7 linked regions of the Canis lupus familiaris genome follow. The protein of the gene in region 1 interacts with the protein of each later gene in a biochemical or structural test. Links are inferred from orthologs where the notes say so. Each region holds a gene or a part of one and is shown in the gene's direction. Other genes may lie near its edges. The genes, in order: UBA1, UBE2L6, UBE2H, UBE2G1, CDC34, UBE2W and UBE2Q2.

What was found.
Region 2: of the proteins of UBA1 (region 1) and UBE2L6, one has a biochemical effect on the other in vitro, tested with the Homo sapiens proteins (2 studies listed by BioGRID). The link is inferred for Canis lupus familiaris from reciprocal best matches to the Homo sapiens genes UBA1 and UBE2L6.
Region 3: of the proteins of UBA1 (region 1) and UBE2H, one has a biochemical effect on the other in vitro, tested with the Homo sapiens proteins (3 studies listed by BioGRID, with this or other methods). The link is inferred for Canis lupus familiaris from reciprocal best matches to the Homo sapiens genes UBA1 and UBE2H.
Region 4: of the proteins of UBA1 (region 1) and UBE2G1, one has a biochemical effect on the other in vitro, tested with the Homo sapiens proteins (3 studies listed by BioGRID, with this or other methods). The link is inferred for Canis lupus familiaris from reciprocal best matches to the Homo sapiens genes UBA1 and UBE2G1.
Region 5: of the proteins of UBA1 (region 1) and CDC34, one has a biochemical effect on the other in vitro, tested with the Homo sapiens proteins (7 studies listed by BioGRID, with this or other methods). The link is inferred for Canis lupus familiaris from reciprocal best matches to the Homo sapiens genes UBA1 and CDC34.
Region 6: of the proteins of UBA1 (region 1) and UBE2W, one has a biochemical effect on the other in vitro, tested with the Homo sapiens proteins (5 studies listed by BioGRID, with this or other methods). The link is inferred for Canis lupus familiaris from reciprocal best matches to the Homo sapiens genes UBA1 and UBE2W.
Region 7: of the proteins of UBA1 (region 1) and UBE2Q2, one has a biochemical effect on the other in vitro, tested with the Homo sapiens proteins (3 studies listed by BioGRID). The link is inferred for Canis lupus familiaris from reciprocal best matches to the Homo sapiens genes UBA1 and UBE2Q2.

What each region holds. Positions count from the first base shown.
Region 1 is NC_049260.1:40,985,432-40,989,679, forward strand, and holds the start of UBA1 (ubiquitin-like modifier-activating enzyme 1), read left to right. Parts: upstream 1-1,448; 5' UTR 1,449-1,603; intron 1,604-2,103; exon of another isoform or gene 2,104-2,433; intron 2,434-4,248. UniProt on the Homo sapiens protein: Catalyzes the first step in ubiquitin conjugation to mark cellular proteins for degradation through the ubiquitin-proteasome system.
Region 2 is NC_049239.1:39,085,514-39,088,259, forward strand, and holds the end of UBE2L6 (ubiquitin/ISG15-conjugating enzyme E2 L6), read left to right. Parts: intron 1-1,536; coding exon 1,537-1,688; 3' UTR 1,689-2,246; downstream 2,247-2,746. UniProt on the Homo sapiens protein: Catalyzes the covalent attachment of ubiquitin or ISG15 to other proteins. Functions in the E6/E6-AP-induced ubiquitination of p53/TP53. Promotes ubiquitination and subsequent proteasomal degradation of FLT3.
Region 3 is NC_049235.1:6,765,152-6,769,354, forward strand, and holds the start of UBE2H (ubiquitin-conjugating enzyme E2 H), read left to right. Parts: upstream 1-1,403; 5' UTR 1,404-1,837; coding exon 1,838-1,890; intron 1,891-2,243; exon of another isoform or gene 2,244-2,347; coding exon of another isoform or gene 2,348-2,382; intron 2,383-4,203. UniProt on the Homo sapiens protein: Accepts ubiquitin from the E1 complex and catalyzes its covalent attachment to other proteins. E2 ubiquitin conjugating enzyme that transfers ubiquitin to MAEA, a core component of the CTLH E3 ubiquitin-protein ligase complex.
Region 4 is NC_049226.1:30,628,810-30,632,883, reverse strand, and holds the start of UBE2G1 (ubiquitin-conjugating enzyme E2 G1), read left to right. Parts: upstream 1-1,274; 5' UTR 1,275-1,381; coding exon 1,382-1,427; intron 1,428-4,074. UniProt on the Homo sapiens protein: Accepts ubiquitin from the E1 complex and catalyzes its covalent attachment to other proteins. In vitro catalyzes 'Lys-48'-, as well as 'Lys-63'-linked polyubiquitination. May be involved in degradation of muscle-specific proteins.
Region 5 is NC_049241.1:58,444,854-58,448,944, reverse strand, and holds the start of CDC34 (ubiquitin-conjugating enzyme E2 R1), read left to right. Parts: upstream 1-1,291; 5' UTR 1,292-1,313; coding exon 1,314-1,490; intron 1,491-3,675; coding exon 3,676-3,762; intron 3,763-3,867; coding exon 3,868-3,965; intron 3,966-4,091. UniProt on the Homo sapiens protein: E2 ubiquitin-conjugating enzyme that accepts ubiquitin from an E1 ubiquitin-activating protein, and catalyzes its covalent attachment to other proteins by an E3 ubiquitin-protein ligase complex. In vitro catalyzes 'Lys-48'-linked polyubiquitination.
Region 6 is NC_049250.1:22,894,820-22,898,908, reverse strand, and holds the start of UBE2W (ubiquitin-conjugating enzyme E2 W), read left to right. Parts: upstream 1-1,289; 5' UTR 1,290-1,296; coding exon 1,297-1,398; intron 1,399-4,089. UniProt on the Homo sapiens protein: Accepts ubiquitin from the E1 complex and catalyzes its covalent attachment to other proteins.
Region 7 is NC_049251.1:40,621,687-40,625,842, reverse strand, and holds the start of UBE2Q2 (ubiquitin-conjugating enzyme E2 Q2), read left to right. Parts: upstream 1-1,356; 5' UTR 1,357-1,465; coding exon 1,466-1,651; intron 1,652-4,156.

The sequences.
Region 1 (4,248 bases):
TTTTCCCTTCCTTGCTCCTCACTCTTCTCTGACTACACAGACTTCTGCACTCTTACTCAGACAAGAAAACTACAGCCTCGGGCTTTGCACCTGATGATCCCTTGGTCTGGAATGTTTTCCCCCATGTGACACATGGCCTGGTTCCTCACTTTTCACATGCCACTTCCTCAGAGAGGCGGTCCCTGACCACTTTACATGGAGTTTCAGGGGAGGTCTCTCTGAGGGGTGGCAGAAGATAAATAGGAAGGAAAAGATCTGATTGAAGAGTGTTCTCGACTGTTGCAAGGGCAATCTCCTTCATATGTTTTTTTTTTAAGATTTTTATTTATTTATTCATGAGAGACACCAGAGAGAGAGCACGCGCATGAGAGTGCCACAGGCAGAGAGCCACAGGCAGAGGGAGAAGCAGGCTCCATGCAGGGAGCCTGATGTGGGACTCGATCCCAGGACTCCAGGATCACGCCCTGGGCCTAAGGCAGGCGCAAAACCGCTGAGCCACCCAGGGATCCCCTCCTTCATGTTTTTTGCTACATTCCCAGTGTTCTGCACTTAGTAGGCATGCAAGAAATCTTTTTCAAATGAATAAATTTGGTGGTTATTGACAGGATATGAGATGCAGAATTTGGGATAGGGTGATAAAGATATTTTCTGTTAAACACCTTTGCTCAAACATCACCACCTCAGCAAGGCTTTCTTTGACCACACTAAAAATACAGACAACCCCCAGATTTCCCCTGATCTTGTTCTATTTCTCTCCATAGCACTTGGCAGTTGTCACATACATATATACAACACGTATTTACATGTGTACTTAATTATATATTCGCATATGAATATAGAATACACACAATGTATATAAGACATTTATCACATACAGAGGTAAATTATTTACATATTGACACTATCATGTTATGTCAATAAGTAGTATTTATATGCATATTTTATTACATATAATTCATACTATACAGTCACATATATCTATTATAATAAGTATTTATATGCAAAACTGTTAAGTTTTACTTATTTGCCATATTTCTGGTCTCTCTCGCAAGAACATCAGCTCCGTGAGGGCAGGGAAAGAATCCCTAGCACCTAGCCCACAGCTTGAACTCCATAAATGTCAAGTGAATGAACTCCTTGGCTACCTGAGCCTCAGTCTTCCCATCCGTAGGATGGGTGTGCCTTTACATCTGGAGGTACCCCATGTTCCACATCCTTTTTCAATCCCCCAGAGCGCAGCTCCGGGAATTCCACAGTCAGGGTTTACATTCTCCCATACTCTGGGCGCTGTAGCCCACCACGTGCACCAGGCACGGGCCAGACAGGACTACCACCCCCAGCATGCCTCGCGCGATAGGGACGTACCACAGCCCGTAGGGGTGTCTGGGTCTGACACGGGCGCCGACAGCACGGGAGCAGAGGCGGGCGCCCCTCTAGCTAAGCATCTGTGGTACGTCCCAAACTGGGGGCCCTTCAAGGCCCCGCGCTTCCGAGCTCCGCGCAAACTCTGGCTCTTGTACGACGGAGGTGGTTTGCTCTTCCGTTGCCCCGTGGCTTCGGCTCATCTCCAGCAGGAAGGCGAGGCTTCCGCCCGGCGCAGGGGGTGAGCTGGAGCACGGTGCCCCCAAACCCTAGACAGCATTTGGGGGAGGGGACTCAATTTGGGGGATCCCCTGATGGGCACATTTGGAGGCTCTGGGCCCGGGGTGGCGTTTAGGGGTGGTTGTGTTCGAGTGGTCCCTTAGGAAGTGGCATTTGGGGACCCCAGGATAGTATTTTGAGTCTGTTTTAAGGAGTATCACTGGGAGGGAGGCAGGATTTATATACCCCTCGGAGGCAGGCGTTAGGGGGATGTTTGAGGAGACCCTTAAGGTCCGTGTATGAGTTCTCTGTCCATGAGGCAGGATATGGAGGTGCTCTCCAAAGGGAGAAGCGAAGTTTGAGGTTCCCGAAGTCCAGGCGGAATTTGGGGAGAGCTTGTTTCAAGCAAGGTCCTATGACAGAGGAAACGTTCGGGACCGACGTGGCATTGTGGATGTATCTGTGGCCTTTGTGACCTCTAGTTTTATGATGAGGTCCCCCCGCGCTTAGGTACTCGCGGCGAGGCGACCGGACACGTCGGGGCCCACACGTTTTTAGGGAGAGGGACCCCCCCAGCCCAGGCTGTTGAAGGGACGCTGGAACCCAGTGTGCTGGGCTCTTCCCGAGGGGACGGCGTGCTACCGGGCCTCCGTTGGTCGCGGCTTTTTTCATTATTCATGAGGAGGTGGGATTGCTAAGGAAGCCCATTTTTGCCGCTTTCACACCTGGTCCGCTGGAAGTATCGGCTTGTGAATTATTCACGAGGGGGCGGATCAGCGTGCTGGAGGGATGTGCTGAACGGGCATTCTGCAGTCTCCCGGGCAAACTAGAACTCATTGATTAATCGTAAAGGTGAGTAGCGCCCCGAGTTTTCTGTGGCTTTTGTAGGGGCATTGTGCATAATTCATGAGGGGCGTAGCTTTTGCAGTTTCACCTGCATGACCCGCTGTTAGCTTTCCCTTACAGGTTCCAAGATTTAAGCCTTAAGTCAACCAAAGGGACGAGGCCTCCTACATTGTTCATTCCTTATGGCCCAGTAATTCCAGATTATCCACAAAGGCTCTAGATTCAAATCCCATCGATCCTTGCCAAGCCCTGTGATCTTTGGCAGATCTTTCTGTGAGCCTGAAAATGTGTATGGGCACAATAATGATCAGATGAGTTTACACTCATTTCACACTTTATTAGCCCATTTAATCCCCACAACAATCCTAGGAGATAGGTTATTATTACCCCATTTTATAGATGAGGAAACTGGGACACTGGGAGGCTAAGTAATTTGCCTAAACTTACTTAGTCAGTGAGTGGCTAGGCCAGGATTCAAACCCCATCAGTCAATCTAGTTCCAGAGTCTGTAGTCTTAATCAAATACCGTAATGTACCCTCCACCACCACTTTAATTGCATATACTACTACTGATGTTAGTCATATAGCACTTGTGCATGGCACTGTTCAAAGCCTTTTCTGCCTATTTACTCACTTAAACTCCCATCACACAAGGTAGGTTACTATTGTTCTCATTTTATGACTGGAGAAACGGTGGCCCAGAAAAGCAAAATGTCTAGCCCCTGGTCACACAGCCAGTTGTAGGTGGGTGGAAATGATTTTTGTGAGGGTTCAAGAACTCTCTAAGGAGGTCGCCTTTGAGCTAAGACCTGAAGGCCAGGAAGGAACCAATTTCCTGCTCTGCATTCCTGAGAACAGTGGCACAATGCATGGGAAGAACACATCACCATAATACGTGATCTGTTAAATATGATCTATTATTATTTGAGAGAAGTGTATTGGGTGTTTATTGTGTACCTGAGGCTTTGGTATATAGTTGTATCTCTCGTGACCTGGTCCTCTATCCATCTTACCTATTCAGTAGACATTGGAGGCTTTAGCATTCTGTTTTCCATTGTCCTTCTGTGGTTGGTTGACTCAAGGCATTGTTTTCTTTTTCTTTTCTTTTTTTAAAGACTTTATTTATTTATTCATGAGAGAGGCAGAGGGAGAAACAGGCTCCACACAGGGAACCTGATGTGGGACTCGATCCCGGGACTCCAGGATTACACCCTGGGCCAAAGGCAGGCACTAAACCACTGAGCCACCCAGGCATCCCTCTTTTTCTTTTTAATGCTGAATGATATTTCATTGTCTGGTTAAGACATTGTTTTTTAAATAATGCTCCCAGTTGGGGGTTTCTCTGGTGGCTGAGTATACTCTCACCCGTAACCAGTTTTATATTAATATAAATATATATTTACATAGTTCTTTTATGTTATTATATAATACTTTAATTAAACAGCGCCCTGTGTCAGCATTGCCAGCTCACTCCCTAATCCATATTCTCTGATTTTCATAATAGCACATTTTGCCTTTATGAGGTAAATGGGTTCTATTTCCAGCCCCATTTTACAGTTTTGGAAACTGAAGCACCTGCCAAAGTCATATTAGTGAGTCTGGATTCCGTTGGACCAAGACAGCCCTGGTTCCTGTGCAGTTAGTCAGGGGTGGGGAGAAGGCATCTACACTTCCCCTGGGTTTCCCCTGTGGCTCTGCAGTATCGGTTTTCATTATTCATGAATAGGAAGGCGTGGCTGTGTTGCCTTGGCTGGAGTACTATAATCTCCAGTAGCTAGGGCTGTCTTGAGTGTTTCTGTCCATCCAGCCTCGTACATAATT
Region 2 (2,746 bases), on another chromosome or scaffold:
TACACGTCGATTAAGCCCTTGGAGGACCATGCTGGGAGCTTCGCACGCTGGCTTTGCCCAAATCCCCAGCAGCCCCATGTGCGGTGTCCCTGTCGCCCCGTTGTTTAACTAGGTGAGGACCCTGGGGCATGTGACAGGTCAAGCGCTCGCCCGCTGTTATACAGCTGGCAAGTGGCCGAGCTGGGCTTCAAAGCCAGGCTTGGCTGACTCTAGGACAGCGCTCCCCAGGAAGACGTTCTGTAGAGAAAGAAATGTTCCATAGCCGCACAGTGCGGTTCCCCAGTCAGTAGCCACGTGTGGCTCTTGAGCACCTGACATGTGGCTAATGTGACTGAGGAACTGAGTTCCTAATTGCAGTTAATTTTAATTCATTTCAAGTTATGTATCTGCACATGGCTAGTGGCTACCATAGTGGACAGTGTGTTTCTAGACTCCATGAGTGTGATCTGTGTGCAGAGTCTGTCTTGCTTCTGGACCAGCTCAGTTCTTCTTTTTTAAAATTAATTAATTAATTAATTAATTAATTAATTTTAAAGATTTTATTTATTTATTCATGAGAGACACAGAGAGAGAGAGAGGCAGAGACAGGCAGAGAGAGAAGCAGGCTCCATGCAGGGAACGCGATGTGGGATTTGATCCCAGGACTCTAGGATCACACCCTGGGCCGAAGGCAGGCGCTTAACCACTGAGCCACCCAGGCGTCCCTCATTTTTTTTTTTCCTCATTTATTTTTTTAAGAGACAGATAAAGAGAGAGCGTGCACGCTTGAGTGGGGGTGCAACTGAGGGGATGGGAGAGGGAGAGAAACTCAAGCAGACTCCCCACTATGCAAGGAGCCTGATGCTGGGCTTGATCTCATGCCCCTGAGATCAGGACCTGAGCTGAAATCAAGAGTCAAATGCTTAACTGAGCCACCCAGGCTCCACGACCAGCTCAGAATTCTTAGCCTTAGGAACAAGGATCCCTGGGGGGAAAAGGGGAGGGGAGATGTGTCCAGGGGGACTGTAGAGCGCTCTTTGCTTAGAACCCCATGTTTGTGTATGTTCGCATGTGCACATGCCTCAAGTGATGGGCCACTCCCTTCACCAGGTTCCCAGAGGAAAGATTGGGAGGCCACTGGGCAGTCGTGGTTTCCAGTCTTTAGAATCAGAACCCTTTTTCCCAAATAAAAGTTGATTTATTTAGAATCCTATCAAACAGAAAAACAGAGTGGTTCTTGTTGAAAAGGGGGTGAGACTCAGAAACCCCATTTATCTCATCAACCCCCATGATGGGAAGCTTCTCTGAAGCCACAGAACGTGGTTTGAAAGCACTGGTGCAGCCGGTCAGGGCTCTGGGCCCCATCAGTGAGGAATGAGGGCCATTTGACTTGGTCATAGAGTTATCATGGTCATTCCATCCAAGGAGATGGAACCTCCTTGGGAGTCCTCCACAGAGTGAGTATGGGATGCCGGGGGACCTAGGGGTGGGCTGCCATCGCCTCCTTCCCACGGTCTTTCTCTCATCCTAATGTCCTGATCTGGCCTCTCTCCCCAGTCTTGGAGGCTCTCAGCGTGCTGGTGAATAGACCAGACCTGGGGCAGCCAGTTCGGGTGGAGCTCGCCGACCTGCTGACGCGGGACCCAGAGCTGTTCAACAGAAAGGCCCAAGAGTTCACCCTCCAGTATGGAGTGGACCGGCCCTCCTAACTGGTTCTGACCCCTCTCTGTTGCTGGGTCCTCTGTGTGATGGACGACATGTTTGACAGACTGGGTGCTAGAGCCCCTCTCGTTTGTTTCATGTTTTCCTTCATGGGTTGTTAATCATTAGTCTGTGTGTGTGTGTGGTGTGTGGTCCCATTCCCAGGTTCACCTGGCCACAGGTGAGCCTTTCCTGCTCTCTTTTTTACCCCAGAGCCAGAGGAGTTCACGTTTGTGCAGTGACAGGCCAGCTCTCCAGCACTCTGTGGCCTGAAAATCTGGTCTCACTAATTGCTCTGTCTTACAGACACAGGTCACCTTTGGGCCAGGTGGCAGGAAACAAGCCCAGAAGGCAACTAGAATCTCCATGGGGCCCTGGCATCCCAGGGGGCAGAGGGGACATGGGGAGTGTGCATGGGAGAAGGATTTGTCTTTACAGTTGAGCAATTTGTTGAGTGATTGAAGTCAGACCGCTAATAGGTGTACTGTATGTTTAGGTTCAGTATTAAATGTTTCCTTTTCTACTGATAAATCACAAAATAAAGAATCTCGATCCTGGAAATCTGATTACATGGTTCTGTTTTTTTGTTTTTGTTTTTAAGATTTATTTACTTATTTGAGAGAGAAAGCATGAGTAGGGAGAGAGGCAGAGGGAGAGGGAGAGCATCTCAAGCAGACCCCCTGATTAGCGCAGAGCCCGAGGCGGGGCTGGATCTCACGACCCTGAGATCATGACCTGAGCCAAAACCAAGCTTTGGATGCTCAACCAGTTGAGCCACCCAGGCGCTCCTGATAACGTGGTTTTAAACTTTTTTTTTTTTTTCTAAAGACTATTTATTTGAGAGAGAGAGAGAGCACATGTGGGCAGGGGGCTGGGCAGAGAGAGAGGGAGACTCTCAAACAGACTCCAGGCCGTATGTGGAGTCTGAGGCGGGGCTCATTCCCACGACCCCGAGATCATTGTGAGCTGAAACCAAGAGTCGGATGCTTAACCGGCTGAGCCACCCAGACGCTCCCGACTACATGGCTTTGAGACCACTTGCAATCCCATTCGGTTGCCAGTTCCT
Region 3 (4,203 bases), on another chromosome or scaffold:
TTGGGATGATGAAGTTCTGGAAATGGAGAGTAGTGATGGTTGTAGAACATTGGTGAATGTATTTAATACACTGAATTGTGCACCTTAAAATGGCTGAAGTGGCAAAATTTATGTTATGTATATTAATCACATACACAAATTACTAGTCCTTTGGAAGAATGGGATGATAGGAATGAAGAATGCTCAACATTAGTTGATTGCTGCTGCCCTAGGTGTGTGTGTGCGTGTATGTTTGTGTCTATGGGAGGTTGTAGAAGGGGACCCATCTCACAGCACGTGGTCTGACAAAGTACAAGTATACTCATAGGAACAAGAGAATAGATAAAAATTTTGAAAATAGAGTCAATGGCAGCAAAAAATGTGATATAAACCTCAGGAGATGCCTAGATCACTCTTTTCTGCCCCTTTTGCCTTGTTGACTGGTGGGTCCCATACCACTTCTTATGGAGTGCTTTGTAGAGCAGTGACTCTCAAACTTCACTGCACATAGGAACCACCTGGGGACCTTGTTAAACTGCAAATTCTAATGCAGTAGGTCTGAGGTGAAGCTCTAGCCTGCATTTCTAACAAGTTCCCAGGTGAGGCTGATGCTCTAGATCTGCAGACCATATTGGGAAGGCTGTGTAAATTTAAAGTCTTTCTTAGTTCACCATGATATCCTCATGCCCAGTGGAGTGATTCACACACAGTAGGTGCTCAATAACTATTTATGAACGAATGATGGAATATACAGGGTTGGTACAGGAGTGTGGAAGGCAGAACAATCTTTGTCCTTCGAACTACAGCATACTTGGGGTGTTTCTGCGTCTACCAGTCATTCACTTTGTGAAATTACCTCATACTCTGTGGGGTAAGGATGCTAGTACCAAATTATTTCCGGTCTTGCCAACTAGCTGCCTCAAGGTTAATCCTTGAAATTGTGGCCCTCTCTACAAGGAGGGTAATGAACCCTGGTTTGCAAGTTCTGAGGAAGCCTCGCTGTAGTCTACAATCGCTGCAAACAGATTCCTTCCATCCAAGGAGGGAGCAGGGTGCAGGGGACCTGCTAGTGTGGGAATTTCCAGATTTTGGTGCCTATCCTAGTAATTGCCACCTCAAATCAAATAAACAGCCTTTCTAACAGTGTATATGAGAAGGAGGTTCACTACCCTAAAACACACAAATGTAATAATATTGCCATTCTTTACTATTATCATTTATGATGATGATAACGACACTGGCAGTTGAGCGATTAAATGTGGGGGTGGGGGGAGTTGGGGGAGGGGGCACTGGGCTGGGAGGGCAAGAGAAAGAAGAACTACATCTCCCAGAACCACCCGGGAGAGTCCACGCCGCGGCGGCGGCGCCCCACCCCTTTCGCCAGCCGGGCCCGCCCCGCCGATGACGTCACAGAGGTGACGTCACGGCGCCCAGAGCGAGGCTGGGGTAGAGAGGCCGACTGAGCAGGAGTCGTCCGCTTGTCGTGGAGGCTGCTAGGGAGCCGGCGAGAGGGTGAGCGGGCGAGCAGGCGAGCAGGCGAGCGAGCTAGAGCAGGCAGCAGGGAGCGACGCGCGGCGCAGAGTAGCGCCGGGGCCGGGCCGCGGAGGAACCCACAGCCGGAGAGGGGCAGCCCGAGCCGGGCGCCGCGGGGTCCCCACCCCCACCCGGCCGGACAGTGCCCGGTGTTCCCCCGTGCGGGGGGCGGCGGCGGCGGCGGCGGCGGCTGACGGGACCCGACAGGACCGCGGGGGTGTTGCCACCTCCACCGAGGAGCCGGGGCCCGGGGCCCGTGATAGACGGGCCGAGGAAAGGAGAGAGGCGGCGGCGGCGCAGGCGACGGGGAGGCAGCGGCGACACCATGTCATCCCCCAGTCCGGGCAAGAGGCGGATGGACACGGACGTGGTCAAGCTGTATCCTTCGTGGAGGGGGGATTCGGGCTGTCAAGGGGGGGCGGTGTGGGGATGCCCCGGGCACCCCCTGAAACCCAGGCAGGGGCCTTGGGGCACTCCAGGCCACTGTCCGAGGCTCCCTTCCTCTCCTCCCTCCCCCCCACCCCCGTGCCTACGGCGGCTCCTTGGCACCTCCCAGGAGCCAGGAGCCAGGAGCCTTTTCAGCTCCCCCTTTATCTGCAGCACCCCGAAATGTGCGTTGTTCCTCGCTCTTCTGCACCCCCCTTGCCCGTGACTTTCCTCCACGACATTTGGGTTCCCGAGACGGCCTTTTTTTTTTTTTTTTTTTTTTTTTTGCAGGACCATCCACCTCTCTTGACCACCGTGCCCACCTCGGGGTCTCTCCTGTTTGCTCGCTCTGGATTTAGGGACTCGTGATAGAAATCCCCGAGAGTGAAGCCTTTCTTCCTTTCTTGAGATGCCTCTGTTCCCTCCTATGCTTCTTGAACTGGGGTAACTCAAGTGACCTCCTTTATCCCTAATTCCTTTCTATATTAGGAAGAGTAGTCTGCTCAGTGCCCCCTGTTGTAATAAAGAGCTGAGTGTTTTAAATCAGGGACCCCGGTTAAGCTTTCTGGTCCCTCGAAGAACCTCACCGTTTTTCTTTTCACTGACAAAGCCTGTCCCACCCATAGTTGGATGTGATGAGGACCCCCAGGCCCTCCAGCAAGCCACCCTCCATATTGTGGTTATGACAGCTGGGGGAGGGTGAGAAAGAGGATCTCCTTGACAAAATAGCCCCTGTATTAGCCACTCGAGCAAACTCCCTCTATGAGGGTAAGGTTCTTGTGGAATAACTGCCCTGATTTTACCAAGTGACACCCTTTATTTTCCTCCCTCCCCCCAACTTTATGTACTCTGGAGGTAGCAGTGGGAAAGCTGTAACTGATAAGGGCCCTTCAGGCAGTGGTTTTGGTTGGAGTCCAGACTGATTATTTCATGACCAGCTAGAGAAATTCGCGAGGGTTCCTGTGACAAATCGAGACAATTTTTGAGGGGTAATTTAGAGGGTTGGGGGGGGGGGTGAGGGGAGAGAGAGAGAGGAAATGAGCCCAGTGTTCTGAACAACTAATCCCTGGGGAGAAGGGGAACCGGGGATGGGGAGTGGTGGTGTGTGAAACGCAGTTAAAAAGTCCTGTCTCCTGCTTCTCTTTCTCCCTCACCCCCATCCCCCCACCATTTCCCCCGTTGCAGGGTTTTGTTTATATAACTCAAGTTGTTTGGCTAGATTCTTCAGGTGAATTCCTTCTTTCTTACTTTTCTTACTGTCTTTGATTGGACGTTTTCCCTCTTTTCAGAGATTGATGATTATTGTCAACTCAGTTATGGAATTCTCTGAAGTTTTAAAAAAGTAGTTTTTGTATTTGGATTGGAAGTGGGGGATGGGAGGGAAGTTGCCTGGGCAAGAAAAAAATTTTTTTTTCATCTTTTCAGGAATAAGGTGTTTTTCTCTTCACTCAGGAAAACTTAGCTAGAAATTAGGAACATTAGATAGACTTCTAAGTTTTAGGGTTTGAAGTTTACAATTTTGGGGAGATGGGAGAGGAGATTACAGAGAGGAGCAAATAATATGTGTTCCAAATATGTGTCTAGGCACAAGTGAAATTGACTCTTTATGAGCTGTTTGTGACTGTGATTGAGTTTTGTAAATGTGTGAATGATCCCAGTAACGCTGGCTTTTCATATGGTTGCAGGAAAACTTGTAACTGTGGCTGTGTGTGCATTTTACACAAAGCAGTTTTGGGTTTTATTTTTGTTTAGAAACTAGGAAATGACATGGTGGCAGAATCTGAGTTATTTTTATCCTGAATTGAGAGTTACTGTCACACCTAATGCAAATTTCTACCTAATGTTTAATTGGGATGGAGGTGGAGAGAGAATTCCAGCTGTTTCTGATCAATGTCAGAGTCTCAAATTATATACATCTATATTTTTAGAAGATTGAGGATAAAGGGTGAGGCCTAACTTGACCTGATGCCTTTTCCATACAGTGCCTTTTGTTCATTTAGTAGTTGTGGCATCTAGAATGATTACCGCATTTAGGAGTCGGAGTGTGGGGGGTTGAGAGGGAGAGGAAAACAGACAAAGAACAGCAGGGTGTCTTTCTCTTTTTTCTTCCCCTAAGTGGCTTATTTCATAGCTTATTTTTAGTAGAAGATGAAGAAAGGCAAAGATGCATTGGCCTTCTGTTCTTTCCCCACCTTCCTCCTTTCTGACAAAAGAAAGCAGAGGCGCTTTAAAATCATAGATCTCTGAGATAGGAGGACAACAGAC
Region 4 (4,074 bases), on another chromosome or scaffold:
ACTGGTTTTTATGGAGCAGCCAGAAAGCTCCAGCGCGGGGACAAGCTAGGCTGCGGCAGGGAGGCCCTGAGGAGAGCGGACCGTTAAGTATGACTTCTTTTCTCGTTATAAAGAAACACGTTTGGGGCCTTCCTGTCTCGCTCTCCTCCTTAGTGACCCCGCACTGAGCACACCTGAGGCCTTGCCTGCGGAGCTTGTGACCCCGAGGGAGCAGGGCGCCCCTCTCCACGTGTACCTGCTCTGGGGGCGCCCAGGGCGATTCTCGGAGACATTCCTGATCTGGAGAGCGGTCTGAGCCAGGACGCAGCCAGCCTCCTGCGGGCAAGGGCAGGGCGGTCCTTCCCCGCGGCCCCCGCTACAGAGGCGTGCAGGTGCACCGGGCAGGTGCTGGAGGGACCGAGGGGCCGGAGCGCGCTCCACGGGGTCGCGCAGCCCCCGGGGCCGTGCAGGTGCTCGAGGGACGGGAAGGCCCAGGTTCCCTCCGCGGCCTCCGCGGCCCTCACAGCTGTGCAGGCGCACCGGGCAAGTGCTGGAGGACTGAGGGCCCGAGCGCCGTCCGCGGGGTCCCAGGTGATGCTCTAAGGTCAGTCCGCAGTAAGAGGTGCGCCAGGAATCTTCACCCTTCTTCCTGTAAAGGGAGTTAGAGCACCTGACGTCAGCTTCGGGGGTTTACGTAAAACGGGACACACCAGCACGAAGTTCGGCTCCAGCCACGGCTCGTTCGCAGTCGCCCGCAAGCTGGCCCCGCACTCCGGGACCACCTGCTCCAGCCCCGGGGCTAAGTCCGGGCAAGCGGCGACCTCCTCGTCATGGTGTCCATGCGGCGTCGGCCAGCGGCTCCTCTCCCCATACCCGCCCCGGCGTCCCCTGCGCCTCGCGCGACCTTCCCAAAATGGCGGCGGCGGGCGCCGCGGCGCGCAGGGGGCGGGATTCCGCCGGCGGGGGCGGGGCCGGCGGGCGGGCCGAGGCGAGGTGGGCAGCCCCAGCGCGCCTGCGCGGAGCGGCCCTGCGCGCAGTGAGGCAGTGGCGGGGGGAAAGGCAGTGGCGGGGGGAAGGCACCGGCGGGGCCGACGGGCGGCTCGAAGGAGGGGAGCGGGCAAGCGGAGTCCCAGTACGCGCCGCGGCCGCCCGGGCGCCCTCCCGTTCCGGGCGTGAGGCGCCGTGTGGAGCCCCCCGCGCTGACCCGCGCCGGTAGCGAGGCGCCGCTCCCGCCGCCAGCCCGGCCTGCCCCGGCCCCGGCCCCGGCCCCGGCCCCGGCCCCGGCCCCGGCTCTCCCGTCGCGGAGGCCCGCGTTCCTCAGCACTCCCGGCTCCGGGCGCCCCCACAGCCTGCTCCCGGCCCCTCGGAAGCCCCGGCGCCGGCCCGGGCCCTCGGCGGGAGGATGACGGAGCTGCAGTCGGCGCTGCTACTGCGGAGACAGCTGGCAGGTGAGCGCCGGCCGGCCCGGGCCCTCCTCCTCCGGGCGGGCGGCCGGGGCGAGGTCGGGGAGTCCGTCCGGCCGGGCCCGCACTCGGCCGGCGTCGGGAGGCCGTCGGGGGCGGGGACGCGGCCCGCCGCGGGGACCGGGCCGGCGCCCGCGCCCTCCCCTCCGCTCCCCTCCCCCACCGCGCGGTGGGACGTTGCGGGGGAGGGGCTGCGGGGCCCCGGAGGGGCGGGCCCCGGGGCTCAGGTGCGGCCGCGGGGGGAGGGGCGGCCGCGGGGCCGGGGGCCGGGGGCCGGGGGCCGGGGGCCGGGGGGCGTCCGGGCTGGCTGGCTGCGGGGGGCCGGGCCGGGCCGGCGGGCGGGGCGCGGGCGGGCGGGCGGGCGGGCTGGGGGAGGCGGCCCCCGGCCGCGGAGGGGAGGCGCGCAAAACTTCTGGCCGGCCGCGCGGCGCCGCGGAGTTGGGGCGGACAACAAAGCGCCGGCCTGGGCGGCCGCGGCGCGCGGGGTTGGCGGAGCGGGCAGTGCGGGCCGCCGCCGGCCGCCGCCGGGCCGCCTCCGCCTGGCACGGGCCCCGCCTGGCCCGCCCGCCTCGCCTCGCCCGCCGCGGAGGGTGGGAGCGGGCCGGGAGCCGCTCGCGGCCGCCCCGGGCTTTGTGCCCCGAGGGCCCCCGCACGGGCTCGCTGAGCCCCCGAGCCGCGGGGCCGGGCCGGGGCGGCGGCCGGGGGCGGTCCCCCGGGGCCGCCGGCGGCCCCCTCCCCCATTGTCCCGGCCTCCGGCCGTTTGCGGCTTCCAGGTTGACTTTTTAGGGGGTTGGCTCCTGCTCCGCTAGGACGGTGCGAGCGGGGCATGCGCACTGGGGGCGGACGTGCGCCGAGGGCGGGGGGGCCGGTGGCTTCACAATGCCGCCCCACGTGCTGCCAGATTTAAAGAGAAATGTGCACCCCCGGCCCGGCGCGCCTGCCGCCGTCGCCGCTGCTGCTCCCCGCGGGGTCCTCGCCGCCCCGGGCCCTGGGCCCCGGGTCCTGCGCTCGGCGCTCGGAGCCCGGGCCTGCAGAACTCCAGCTCGTCCACACTCCTCGAGCTGCTGCTTCAATCACCTCGATGGCTTCTTGAGAAAAAGGTTGTCAGGGACTGCTGGAGGTTGTATAATTAGCGTTATTATTAGACCATGAGCAAGCAGGTTTGGACACATTCAACTTCTGGATGCTCAGGGCAGTGACTTGAAGTGGATGGAGAAGTTCTGGCGATAGTTGATAATCCATCACGGAGAATGTATCGGAAAAGCGATGAAACAATGACCTTATTGCATCTTGTTTTTTGTCTTTTTTTTTTTTTTTGGTTTATTTTGTTTTGGAGGAAGGAGTTAGGATGTCCTTTTGTCTCGTGAAGAATTCTCTAATAAGTTTTTATTGTGTGCTGAACTATTGAACAGCGTTAGAATAAGAAGTCAGTAGTAAAACAGTCTTCAGCTCTTAACATGGCAGGAAAGATACACATTTTTAAAGGTGTGAAGGAAGTTAGGCAGTTACTAAGAAAGTAAAGTATGACTAAAAACAGTGGTAGCAGTTCTTGAGAAGTACTTTCCTACTCCGCTCTAGGTTTTGATGGCCTCTTGGTTCAGTTTTCCCTTTTTTGTCAAGATTAATCCCAATGTTGATAAAACATTTTCCAGAGGTCTTCATTTTTGGCTTAGTCTTTTAATCAATCAATTAATTAATTAATGATAGTCAGAGAGAGAGAGAGAGAGAGAGAGAGAGGCAGAGACACAGGCAGAGGGAGAAGCAGGCTCCATGCACCGGGAGCCTGATGTGGGATTCGATCCCGGGTCTCCAGGATCGCGCCCTGCGCCATCCGCAGGCGCTAAACCGGTGAGCCACCCTGGGATCCTCCCTGGCTTACTCTTTTAAAGGATTTTATGTGTAAGTGCTGTTTGCACCCAGTGTGGGACTCAAACCCACAACCCGGAATGGTGAGCTCTGCACCCTCCACCTGCTGAGCTTGCCGGTGCCCCACTGCTTGACTGTTAGCTAAGGCCATTGATACTCACTTTGAAGTTGGAGGAGAGACTGTATTGCTGTGTCATTTTTCAAGCTTCATTATAAAGTTAGTTAATTGCTGATTAAGTTTTCTTGCATTAAAAAAAATTTTTTTTTTTTTTTTTAAGATTTTATTTATTCATGAGAAACAGAGAGAGGCAGAGACAGGCAGAGGGAGGAGCAGGCTCCATGTGGGGAGCCTGATGCGGGGCTCGATCCCGGGACTCCAGGATCAGCCCTGGGCCAAAGGCAGATGCCTAACCGCTGAGCCACCCAGGGATCCCCATTTTTTTCTTGCATTTTTGATCAGAAGCAGTGGACTGTTCTTAATTTCTTAAAGATTTGGACGATTTTAAATAACATGAACAAAACAGGAGATGGAGTTTTTTTTTTTTTTTTTTAAGATTTTATTTATTCATGACAGACACACAGAGAGGGAGAGAGGCAGAGACACAGGCAGAGGGAGAAGCAGGCTCCAGGCTCCACTCAGGGAGCCCAGCGTGGGACTCGATCCTGGGTCCCCAGGATCCGACCCTGGGCTGAAGGCGGCGCTAAACCGCTGAGCCACCCGGGCTGCCCAAAGGGAGTGTTTTAAGTGAAATCTAAAAATATCAAG
Region 5 (4,091 bases), on another chromosome or scaffold:
CCCCCCACCCATGCTTCGTGGGGGAGCGGGGCTTCCGTCGGGAGATCCTGGGATCTGGATTTGCAAGAATCGTGATTACTTCTAATTACTATTTACTGGCAAGCTGCCCCATGCCGCTGCTGACGTGGGCGCCGCGGGCACAGAACGAGGGCCAGGGAACCCCTGGCCAGGGGCACGGAGCCAGGTGGCCCGGGGTGCGGGGCAGCGGCTGCCCACTCTGCGGATGGGAACGTCAGGGTCCCCGCCTTGGGGCAGCCGCCGGAAGCCGCTGCCGGGCCCGGGGCTCTTCCTCCGGTCCCCTGTCCCTCTCCTCTAGATGAAATGCTGCTTCCCTCGCGCCAGACAAGGCTCCCTGTGTGTCCTCACCTGGGCGACGGCAGCGGGGGGCGGGGGGGCAGGTGTTGGGGCACCTGGAGGAGGGGCTCGCAGCACAGGTGCTGGTCTGGGGCCTGCCGGACACCTGCCAGCGAGGCTGCGGGCACAGCGCCACGCCCACCCTCTGGGTCCCTGAGGGCGTGGAGGATGGAGGCCGGGGCCAGGTGTGCGTCCAGGTGTGCGTCCAGGTGTGCGTCCAGGTGTGCGCCCGGCGCGGTGGGGACTAACCCCGCCCCCAGCTCGGCCCCGCGCTCCGCTCCCCCGAAGGGAAACTGAGGCCCCGCCCTCCGCTCCTCCCCTTCCGCGAAGCCACCTGCTCCGCCCCGCCCGGGCCAGGCGACCCCGCCCCGGCCCCGCCCCGCGCTGGGACGTCATAGAAAAGACCCCAAAAGCCCCGCGGCGCGTGCCGGGCCGGCGCAGCCCAGCCCTGCCCGCCTCCCCGCGCACAGACGTCCGGGGTGCTCGTCCGAGCGGCGGGCGGCGGCGGCGGCCTCCCGGGGGTCGGAAGCGCCCAGGCGCCTGCGCGCTTGGCCTCCCCCCCCCCCCCGGTCCCTCCCGGCGGTCGCGCCTGCGCGCTCGGCGGGCCGGGGGCGGGGACTCCACTTCCCGGCGTGCCCCGCGGGCGGGCGCGCAGGCTCAGTGCGGGCCCCGCCGCGGCGCGCAGGCGCGGTCGGGGGGCCGGAGGCGGCGCGCACGCGCAGCGCGGGGCGGGGCGCGCGGGCCAGGCGGAGGCGAGCGCCGGGCGGGCGGCGGCGCCAGAGCGAGTGGAGCGTCCCGGGGTCCCGGGCGGCGGCGGCGGCGGCGAGGAGGAGGAGGAGGAAGGCGGCGGCGGCGGCCCCGGCGTCCCCCCGGCCGGCGCGCGGCCCGGCCCGTCCCGCGCCCCCGCGGCGGCCCCGCGGCCCCGCGCGCCCCCGACCCCGGGCCCCGCCGCCGCCGCCATGGCCCGGCCGCTGGTGCCCAGCTCGCAGAAGGCGCTGCTGCTGGAGCTCAAGGGGCTGCAGGAGGAGCCGGTGGAGGGCTTCCGGGTGACCCTGGTGGACGAGGGCGACCTGTACAACTGGGAGGTGGCCATCTTCGGGCCGCCCAACACCTACTACGAGGGCGGCTACTTCAAGGTGAGCCGCGGCGCCCCCGCTCGCCCCGCTGCGCCCCCCGCCGGCCGCGGGGTCCCCGAGCCGTCCCGCCGCGCTGCCTGGAGCCGGGAGGGCCGCCGCGCCCGGCCTTGGCCGCGTTTCCCTGGTGTGACAAAGGACTGGAGCCAGGCCCCGGGCGGCCCTCCTGACCTCGCCGCCGGAGCCCGGTCGGGCCGGAGGACGCTTCTCAGGTTGCAGGGCCGGGCCGTGCACGCGAGCCAGAGGCGCGGGCCAAGGGGTCTCGCTGCCGAGCGGTGGGGAGCGAGCCCTCGGCCCAGGCCGGCCCAGGACCCTCCCTGCTCGGGAGCCTGCGCGCCCCGCCAGGCCCCGCCAGGCCCCGCCAGGCCCTGCCAGGCCCTGCCAGGCTCTGCCCCGGGCAGGGTGGGGAGCAGAAGCCAGGCGGTGGGGGAGGGGCGGCCGCTGCTCCCGGGGCACATGTCTGTGTTTGCACTTTCAGCTGATGTTTTAGCTGAGCCTGCTCGGCCGCGGGCGTGAGGGAGCAGCCTGGTCAGCTGGGGCGACTCCCGAGTTGCGAGCACCCCACCGTGGTGCTGCAGTGGGACGAGGGGGCGTGAGCGTGGACAGCCCTGGGCTAGCTTCTGCATGGCCGGGGAGCCCGGCCCCCGCTGGCACGCAGGGCACGGATTTGGGGTTGGCCACCTAGTAGCGCATCTAGGGCCCTCGCCAGCCTCCTGTGTCTGCTTCGGGCTGCAAGGGCGACGGCTCTCGCAGCCGGGACGCTCAGGCAGGCCGAGCCCCTGGGTGAGGCTGCAGAGCTGGAGGGAAAGGGCACAGGCTTTGGGCTTCTGATTTTTGCCGGTTAACTGGTTGCAAGGGATTGTGGGTAGATCCTCCAGGATGGCTTTGGGGGGGAGGGGTCATCCCACTTGAGAAGAAGGGACTGGAGCTGGGCCACGGCCAGATTTCCAGATGCCACAGGCCCTGTCTGCAGGAGGCCGGCCTGGGCCCCACACCCAGTGTGGTCCTCGTGCAGGTGCGACGGGCGGGAGCGGAGCTGGGGAAGCGCAGGGAAGTACCACCGTCACTTCCAGCCACTTCCCCCAGCGCCCTGCGGCCAGCCCGGCCTCCCGAGCCTCCGTGACCAGACGGGGTGCCAGAGACAGGCAGTTCAGAGGCCTCCTCCCGGCTTATCGCCGGGCGTCCTCAGTAGGGGACTTTCCTTCTCTGAGCCTGAGCTTGCTCAGTGGTGCGGTCTCCCCGGGGGATGCTCGATTCGGTGGGTGCTTGGTGCCAGGGAGCCCCCCCGCCCCGCCCCCGAGGGCCATCACTGGAAACTCTTAGGGCAGGTTCTGAGTTCCAGGAGTGCTCTGCAGTCGCCAGCCAGCTGCCTGCCTCCTGGGCCTCAGCATGGTCACCCCAGAGCAGAGGGACTTCCCCCAAATGCCCCGAGTGCCCCCTGCCCAGGAAGGAGACTTTCCAAATTCGGGCCTGGGGGAGTTGCCGCACACGTGCCCAGCTTTGTCTCCCAGCTCGCTGGCTCGCCCCTGCCGGCCTGGAGCTCCGCCAGGATCCGGGGCCAGGCCTCCCCACGTCTGGGCCTGGGGCTCAAACAAGCCAACACGGCTTCTTTACCTGCTGAGGCCTGAGCAGTGTGTCACCTGGGCAGGTGGCCCTCCCCAGTCTGCCCCGTGACCTTCCTGTCTGCCTTCCTGGCCCCCCCGTGATGGACACTTGTGGGCAGAGAGCCCGTCTGTCCAGCGCTGACTCATCTCCTCCCACAGGGCCCGGCCCACAGAGGTGTCGGGAGTGATTGCTGAGTGAACACACGTCTATTTTAATCTTCCCCACAACCTGGAAACTGAGGCCGAGGAGTCCACCACCGTGCGGGGGTGCACAGCTCCCAGGGCCCTGCCAGCCGGAGCCATGTGCCGGCCCGAGCCCGCCGCGCTCCCTGGGGCCTGGCTGCGCGTCCCTCCCACAGGCCTGGACTGAGCACGGCCTGAGACCTGCTCCCAGCCGCGGGGTGGGGCCCGGATCGGCTCGGGGGACCCTGAGTAGTCCTGGGGCCTGCGGGCGGTGCGTGCGGCAGGCAGGGTCCAGGCGGCCTCCGGGCGGGCGCGTCTGTCCCAGCTCACACCCTGGTCTGCGGCCCTGGGCTGGGGGCCGTGGGCGGCACTGGCTGAGCTCCTGCGCTCTGCCCTCCCAGGCACGCCTCAAGTTCCCCATCGACTATCCCTACTCCCCGCCGGCTTTCCGGTTCCTGACCAAGATGTGGCACCCCAACATCTACGAGGTGAGTCCGCCGCGTGCCCTGCAGCCTCCCTGTCGGGGGACACGCTGCGCTGCCTGCCGAGTGGTGAGCGGTGTGGGCCCTGATCCCTCCGTCCTGTACCCACAGACGGGGGACGTGTGCATCTCCATTCTCCACCCCCCAGTCGATGACCCCCAGAGTGGGGAGCTGCCCTCAGAGCGGTGGAACCCCACCCAGAACGTCAGGTGAGAGTGGACCGGGCCCTGTGTGAGGGGCTGCTCAGCAGATGGACCCCTGCCCCTGTGGGGCTCCCTCAGGCCCGGCCAGCCCTGGGGCGCGGACGCGGGAGGACAGGGCCACGACTCCCTGCA
Region 6 (4,089 bases), on another chromosome or scaffold:
AGAGAGAGAGAGAGGCAGAGACATAGGCAGAGGAAGAAGCAGGCTCCACGCAGGAAGCCCCACGCGGGACTCCATCCCCGGTCTCCAGGATCGTGCCCTGGGCCAAAGGCAGGCGCCAAACCGCTGAGCCACCCAGGGATCCCCTTCCATTTTATTCTTAACCAATGACAACTGAAGTTGTCGAATAGCTTTTTTTTTTTTTAAGATTTTATTTATTTACTCATGAGAGACAGAGAGAGAGAGAGAGAGAGAGAGAGAGAGAGAGGCAGAGACAGGCAGAGGGAGAAGCAGGCTCCATGCAGGGAGCCCGACGTGGGACTTGATCCCAGGTCTCCAGGATCACACCCTGGGCTGAAGGCAGGTGCTCAACCGCTGAGCCACCCGGGGGTCCCTGGCATAGCTTTTTAAAAGGTGGCTTCTGATAAATGTTGGCAGAACTGGTGCATTCCAGAAAAAATTCTGGATGCTCACCTCTCCCTACTCAAATACATCCCTAGGTCAAATGACCACAGAACTGCCCACCACGAAACAGGCTGAAGCCAAGTCCAGATGTGACAAAAGGTGTCAAGTGTATACTACAAAGTGCACAGATCCATCAAAACAACAAAACAAAACAATCGCGTCTAGGGTCAAATCCCTACACAGATGTGAATGCCGTAACAACCTAACTATTACGGATACCCGTTTAGTTTAAAACCGAGGGGCTGGTGTAAAGGGGGAAACAACAGCACACGAACCAAAGAAAAACTTTAAAAATGTCTCTTCCCTTTCGGGCAAGTTTCAGCTCTACAAATCCACCCTGGCCCTTAGAATGCCAACGTACTGTTTTGCTCTCCGTCCTCATCCCATTGTACAACGACATGCGTCTTTCTCCCCCGACACTGGGAACACGAGAAGCCTTCCAGACCGTAAAGAGTAAAAGGCAGCCCCGCGGGCAGGGGAACCGCGCCCCAAGGTGTGAATATGGGCCTGGCGCGGTGGAGAAGACGTCCAAGAGCATCTTCCAACCACACCACCAGCGGTTGGAAAAACAAAGCAAAAAGAAAAACCAACGGGGCTGGGCATCATCAAGATGTTAGGGTAAACAGAGAAAAAAAAAAAAAAAAAACCTACGGCCGTCGCCAGGTGAGGCCCGGCGCGGCGGCGAGGGAGCGCGGCCGCCGGAGAGCGCGCTGGGCCCGAGGGTACCAACAGCGCCATTGACCGCGCTCCCGCCGCCCCTCCCCCCGCCGGGGCGCCAGCCAATCCCCTCCCGCCGTCGCCTTCCCACCGGAGGCCCCGCCCCCGGCGCCCAGGATGCTGGGCCCCCGCGGCGTGACGCGAGCACGGCGGCTCCGCCCCCTGCGTCTCTGGCCTCGCCGGCCTTGGGGGGATGGTTCCATCATGGCGTCAATGCAGGTGAGAGGAGTTTGCAGCATCTGGGCGGGCGAGGGAGCCGCCGAGAGGACGCAAGCGTTTTGTCGGGGGCGGCGTCCGGGACTCTGGGGCACCCGGGCGGGTTCGGGAGCGGCCCTGGTGGCCAGTCCTTTCCCGGCTTCAGGACGTTGGGGAGGGGTGCGAGGCGGCGAGAAGAAGGGCGGGGGAGGGGGGGGTCCTCGGGCGGTCGAAGCGGACACCAGCCGGCCGGGAAGTTGGGGGATAAAGAAGGCTGAGAGGAGGAAGGGGTGAAGTTTGGCGTTGGCGTGGCGGCAGTGGTCTCGGGTCGCCTCTCGCTCACACTGACGCTGGCCTGCCCGCCCGCCCCGGGGATGCCTTCCCCGCGGTCCCCGGCCGGGCGGAAACAGCTGCTCTGGCCGTCGTCGCTGGGGCAAGGGCGGCCCGGAGAGGGGCCGGGGGCGGGGGGGAGCTGAAAAGGCGTTCCGGGGACGGCGGCCAGCTGCAGAAGCGCCTCGCGGCCTCTGCTCAGGCCTCCCACGCCCAGCTGCTCCGACCGCTCGGCCCTGCTCTCTTTGACTCTCACTCCTTTGCCCCGTGGGTACCTTCCTCTGTTAGCTTTCGCACCCTCTGCGAACCTTAGTGCGGCAGCGCACTCGCTCTCCCGAGGCTGCCCTTGGCCCTTCAACATCATTTGCCTCCTAAGAGGCAGTCTCCCCGAGATCTGAGTCACTAGCCCCCTTATACCTCCGGGATGGCTCGCCCTCAGATTTTTTTTTTTTTTTCTTTCCCTGCGGTGCCCCACCCTTGTGGTCGCGGTAAAGCTCCAGCCCTTTGCCCTTCTTCCCTAGATCTTTAGTGGAATCTTAGTTTGGTAGGAGGCATTTATTAACCTGTGTCATAGCTGCCTGACTTAGCAGTTCATGGGTTTCTGGCTTTCCAACTTAATATGCTCCTTTTTTTCCAGATCCAAGGAGTTTTGTTTTTTTGTTTTTTTGTGGTTTTTTGTTTTGTTTTGTTTTTTCTTTTTTCCCCCCAGGCAAAGATGGCAACCACCACTGCAGTTTTGTAAAGATTGACTCTGCTTTATCTATAGCCTGCATTTAATTTTACAAATGAAGACTAGCTCTGATGAGAACACCTAGGGAGAGAAGATAGAACTGTTGTTTGGAGTGGCAGCTGAGTGCTTTTTAGAGTTTTAACATCTTAAAGAGACCCACGTTTTTCTTAGGATTCAGTGCTTTTGTTTCTAGAAGAATAAGCAAATCTTCTTATCTTCCCCCACCCTCTGTTTTTGGTTTGTTTTTCATTTCTAGGCGAGAACACTTTTTTCTTCTCTTTTCTGCATCTTCCTCTTTTGCGTACATACTTGCTTCACATTTACTTTTGTGCTTTTGTGTTATCCCCTTTCAACCAGTTTTCCATGCGATATTCTATTTACCGTTGCTGCTGCTTCTGGACTTTCCTGAAGAATAGAAAAATGTCTAACTTTCCTACTTGAAGGGATGTCACAAAACGGTGCAGGGAAAAAACAAGAACAATTTGAGGAAACATTATACTTTACACTGGTCTCCCCAGAGACGTTAGAGAGGTTTCGTCATTTGAGGCCAAAAAAGGAACTGTGGAACACTAGTTGAACAGTAGATGGGCTATATGACTAATTTAAGATAGTTTGTATTAAGATTAAAATAATTTGTTTCAAGACTAAAAATTATGGTTAAACCCACAGCACCTGTGATTATATTTAACAAGACAATTATAGGGATAACTAGTTAGCTGGTTAGATGTAAACTTTGAGGGTCTGAAAAAACAAATTTCCCGGTTTAAGAGAAAAAAGTGAATACAGAATTGGGTCAGTGCAGGACTTAATGTTGATAATCTTGAATTTTACATGGTGACTTGAGCAATGGAAAAAAAAATATTTGCCACTGCAATAAGTGGAATTTTCTGTGTTTTAGGTATTTTCCCACTGCTTGTTTGTATTTTCGAAATATCTGATACAGATATTTCAGATACAGGTTTTCTGACAGTACCTTGAAAAATAATTTTAATATAGATAAATCAAGCTTTTCGAAATTCAGTACTGGTTTCTGTGTGGTTATTCCGTCTTTGGTGAATAAAATTTTTCCTGACCATCTTTATAGCAAAATGTTGTGTTAAAGATTTTATTTTATTTTTTTTTTTAAGTAATCTCTGCATCCAACCTGGGGCTCAAACTCACAACCCCAAGATCAAGACTCTGCTCTACCAACTAAGCCAGCTAGATGCCCCTTAATAGCAAAATTTCACTCTTTTCAAAACAACTGGATTTGTTTATTTACTCAATTATTTTTTAAGGGCCCTACTGTGCTACTAATCAGAGTGCTAGAGATAGAGCAGTGAACAAAAGTAGACAAGGATTTCTGCTCTGGATACAATAGTCTAGTTGGGGGAGACAGATAACCAAATACTTAAGTTAATTGCATATTATATTAGAAGGTGATAATGCTATGAAGGGAAAGCATGGAAGGAGGTTAGGAAATGGATGTTTTGGGGATTTCAGTCAGAGTGCTTAGGAAAAAGTATACATATGCTGCTCTAACCATGTCCTTACCTAAAAAGTTTTCAGATTTCTTTATCTTACGCCAGGTCGTCAGGATGTTATCGCGGCTGAGGAGATTACTGAAGCTATAAGAACTATTTTAAAGACATACAAATTATAGAAATGTAATATAA
Region 7 (4,156 bases), on another chromosome or scaffold:
CCCTGTGCACCTGCAGAGGTCGCACAGCCAGGGAGTGAGTCCTCCTTCTAGGCCCCTGCCCCCCCCCCTCCCCCGTTAGGCTCGGTCCGTTGGAGGGACCGCCAGGCATCCTCCAGGCATCCTGCACCCGCACGGAAGGCGCCGGGGCTTGCAGCACGTGCTGGGCAGGCCTCCCAGGAGCATCCAGGCAGGGACGCTGCGTGTCCGCGAAGGGCCTTGTTCCAAGTCCTGGATGCAACTCTGAAGAAGACATTCGTGTTGGGCAGAGACGATGGACAAATAAGCAAAATATCAGTGATTGGTGCTGAGTAAAAACGTTAACCTAGGATGACGCGGTGTTGGGTGACTGGGCGGCCCTCTGACACATTTGAGCTAAGACTTCACTGAAAATAGGCCAGTCCTGCCTCCTGGGAGCTCAGAGGGTTTCCTTAAGCGTGGGAAGGGGACCAACGCTCAGGGCAGGAAAGGAAAGGAAAGACGCTGGCAGGGGCCCGGGCTAGCGGGGCGGGTCCGGGTGCGAGCAGCTGTGCGGCCCTGCGCCCCCTGCGCCCCGTCCCCACCCCGCCCAGGTGGCCCGCCGGGCTCGGGGCAGAGGCGCGCAGGGGTCTGCGGATCCTGCAGGTGACGCGCCCCGGGGCCCGCCCGCCCCACACCCCGAGACCCAGGGCCCGCGGAGCGCGGCCGACGGGCGGGGCAGAAGCGCGCGGGGTCAGGGCGGGGCCTAGGGGGGCGGGGCCTAGGGGGCGGAGTCGGAGAGGGGCGGGGCCTAGGGGCGGGGCCGGAGAGGGGGCGGGACGTGCAGACGCCGGAGCCGCGGGGCGGGGTCGGAGAGGGGCGGGGCCTAGGGGGCGGGGCCGGAGAGGGGGCGGGACGTGCAGACGCCGGAGCCGCGGGGCGGGGTCGGAGAGGGGCGGGGCCTAGGGGGCGGGGCCGGAGAGGGGGCGGGACGTGCAGACGCCGGAGCCGCGGGGCGGGGTCGGAGAGGGGCGGGGCCTAGGGGGCGGGGCCGGAGAGGGGGCGGGACGTGCAGACGCCGGAGCCGCGGGGCGGGGTCGGAGAGGGGCGGGGCCTAGGGGGGCGGGGTCGGAGAGGGGGCGGGGCGTGCAGACGCCGGAGCCGCGGGGCGGGGTCGGAGGGGGGCGGGGCCGCACGGGGGCGGGGGCGGGGCGTGCCGGCGCTAGAGCCGGAGCCGCGGGGAGGGGGCGGGGCCGCGCGGGGGGCGGGCGCGGGGGGGCGGGGCGCGGGGCGGGGCGCGGGGCGGGGCGCGGGGCGGGGGCGGTGGCGCCGTTGCCCTTTGAAGCCGCGGGGCCGCGCTCACGGGCCGCCGAGTCGGTTGCCGGGAGCCGCCCGAGGCCCCGCCGCCCCCGCCGTTTCTCGCCGCGTCGCGCGGGCCGGCGGCCGGGGGGCCCTGCGGGGCTGCGGCGGCCGTGACGGCGGCTCCGGGCCCGCCGGAGATGAGGGCAGGATGTCGGTGGCGGGGCTCAAGGCCGAGCTGGAGCTCCTGGCGTCCGTCTTCCACAAGGACCACGAGCGGCTCCGCGTCGTCAGCTGGAAGCTGGACGAGCTGCACTGCCAGTTCCTGCCGCCGCCCCCGGCCCCGCCCGGCAGCCCGCGCCCGCCGCCGCCGCTCTCGCTGCACTGCAATATCACGGTGAGGCGCGGGGCTCGGCCGGGGCTCGGCCGGGGCTGGGGGGGAGGGGGGAGGGGAGGGGAGAAGGGGGTTAGGGGACGGGGCGGGGGAGAATGGTTAGGGGAGGGGGCGGGAGGCAGGGGCAGTCGCCCCTCAAGGCCCCGGCCCCTCCCCGGCCCCCGCGGGGCGCAGGCCGGGCCCTGGAGCGAGGCGCGGGTGGAGGAGGGGGAGGAGGGGAAGGAGGGGAAGGAGGGGGAGGGGACGGAGGGGGAGGGAGGGGGAGGAGGGGGCTTACCCCCACCTGTCCCGCGGGGCGGCCGTGGGGCTGCGGGCGCTCGGCCCGCTCTGCCCCCTGGGCCCGCCCGTGTCCCCGCGGCCGCCACACCCGCTGTCCCTGCGGCAGGGGGAGCCCCGGCACCCGATGGGGGGCCCCCTACTCTGCAGTCAGCTGTCCCTGGGCTCCCTTATTCCCCCAGCTACGTTTAAGGAAGAGCTGACGCGGGGAACTGCCGCCTTCCAGGGAGAGTGGAGAACGCAGCGTCCGGTGCTGCTTGAACGACCCCTTCCTGCAGGCCTGGCTCCGCGCGGGCGGCCGAGCCCCAAGGGCGCCTCGTACCGGGCTCGCAGGTGCTGCCGCGGGCTCTGGCCGCCGGGCCCCCCTGGGCGTAAGCCTCGGGATGATCTGCAGGCAGAAGGGGATGTTTGTCCAAGCCTTCTGCCCGGAAAGAGGATTTTAGGCCACAAAGCCCAAGCGGCAGTTTAAAGCTCCCTCTTTGGGTTAAATTGGAGGCTCGTTAGGAACAGCGGGATTGGCGTTTCATAACCCTTTCCTGGGTGTGTTTGAGGGAACGGTGACCCGTTGACTTGGGGTGCTGTTCCCAGCCGCGGAGTAGCTTCTGACAGCAGGAGTCCAGGTGGCCGCCGGGCGCTCCCTGGAGCCAAGTCTGGTGAAGCCGGTGGCACTGGGGAGTTGGAAAGGGCTGGAAGTCATGATAACTGACGGTGAAATCATTTTCAGACGCTCTGCGGGAGCAGCTGTGTATTTTTGAGAGACAGAGACAAGTGCTGTGCTGGGGAGAGCAGGCGTGCAGCGTCTAGGTGTGCTGTTCTAGGGCCGGTTTGCAAAACTGGGTAGAGCAGTTTTCAGAACAAAATCGTCTTTGGGGAAGAGGTTCGTATGACCGAGGGTTGTCAAGCTCTACGGGGTCGTTAGGAAAGCCCGAGACAGCACTTAACTAGAGTTTGGTGTGTGTGTGTGTGGGGGGGTGGCAGTGGAGTGGGGCCTTCACAGGTGAGTAGAATCTTGGGCGTGGAAGCTCGGTTCAGGCAGAGGGAACTATCCAGAAAAGACACCAAAGCTTGAGAAAATGGGGCTTGCCTAGAAGTAGACAAAGTATGAGGCTATAGGCTGGTAAAGGACAACATTTCCCACACATGGGAAGCAGGAAGTAGTAGTGAGCATGAAGGAGACTGGCCTGAGTGCTGACCATTGCAGGGAAGCTGCCCAGGACGTGGTAGGGCTGCCTTACGTGCTCAGATGCACCCTGTAGGCTTCTGGCAGCTCCTAAATTCCTGAGGTAAGTCGGGAAAACTGTGCTTGCCCTGGCCAGAAGGAGTTCTCTCCGGGGTGTGGTCTCAGGAAGTGTGTGTGGATGGCTGTGGTCACCTCGGTGGCCATAGGGTCACACCGCTGCTGTGCTGGCGCCTAGTGCCAGGGCTCCAGGGGTGACAGATGTCCTTTAGTGTCCAGGCTGTGCCCACAGCACGACGCCGGCATCGTCTCCAGTGAGAAGCAGAGGAGGCTGATAGGAATCAGCTGCACAGAGCAGAGCACAGCACGGGGGTGGATTAGAAACACCGGGTGGAAGGAGGGTGTGGGATGGACCAGTATGAGGAGCTACTCAGGATTGTGAGAGGTCTCACTAGAAAATAGTTACCATGCTGAGTGCTCAGTGTACAGGAACGTGTATTAACTTTTTATGGAAAAACCTCAAACATGCACAAGTTGAATAGTGTGGAGGACCTCCATGTCTTCAGCCTCATCAATGGTCAATTTTTGGCCAATCACCAATGTCACCTGTACCCCACCTCAGATTAGTTTGAAGCAGGTTCCTGGTCTGTCACTCCATCTGTAAATATTTCAGTGAGTATCTCTAAAAAATAGACGACACTCTTTAAGCATAGGTAGGTGTTTGATAAAATCTACATGGCTTGCTGGTGCCCATACCGCTTGCTTAGAGGGGAAAGAGCAAAGAAAAAAATGAGGTTGGATTTCCTGTCTATTGTGTTTGTGAATTGCTATTCTCTAAAATGTTATAGCTCTTAAAAAAAAAAATACTGAATTTTATCTGTTTTTTGTTTTTTGCTCTTATTCCCAGATATTTATTGAGCTCCTCCACGTGCTAGGCCCTGTCTTTTCCCTTGCTCACCAGGAAGCATACTTACACAGTGTCTTTAACATTTGAGAAAACTGCGCCTCACCCGTTTCCTTGCACTCCTGCTTGCCAGTTTCTGAATAGTCTTCTC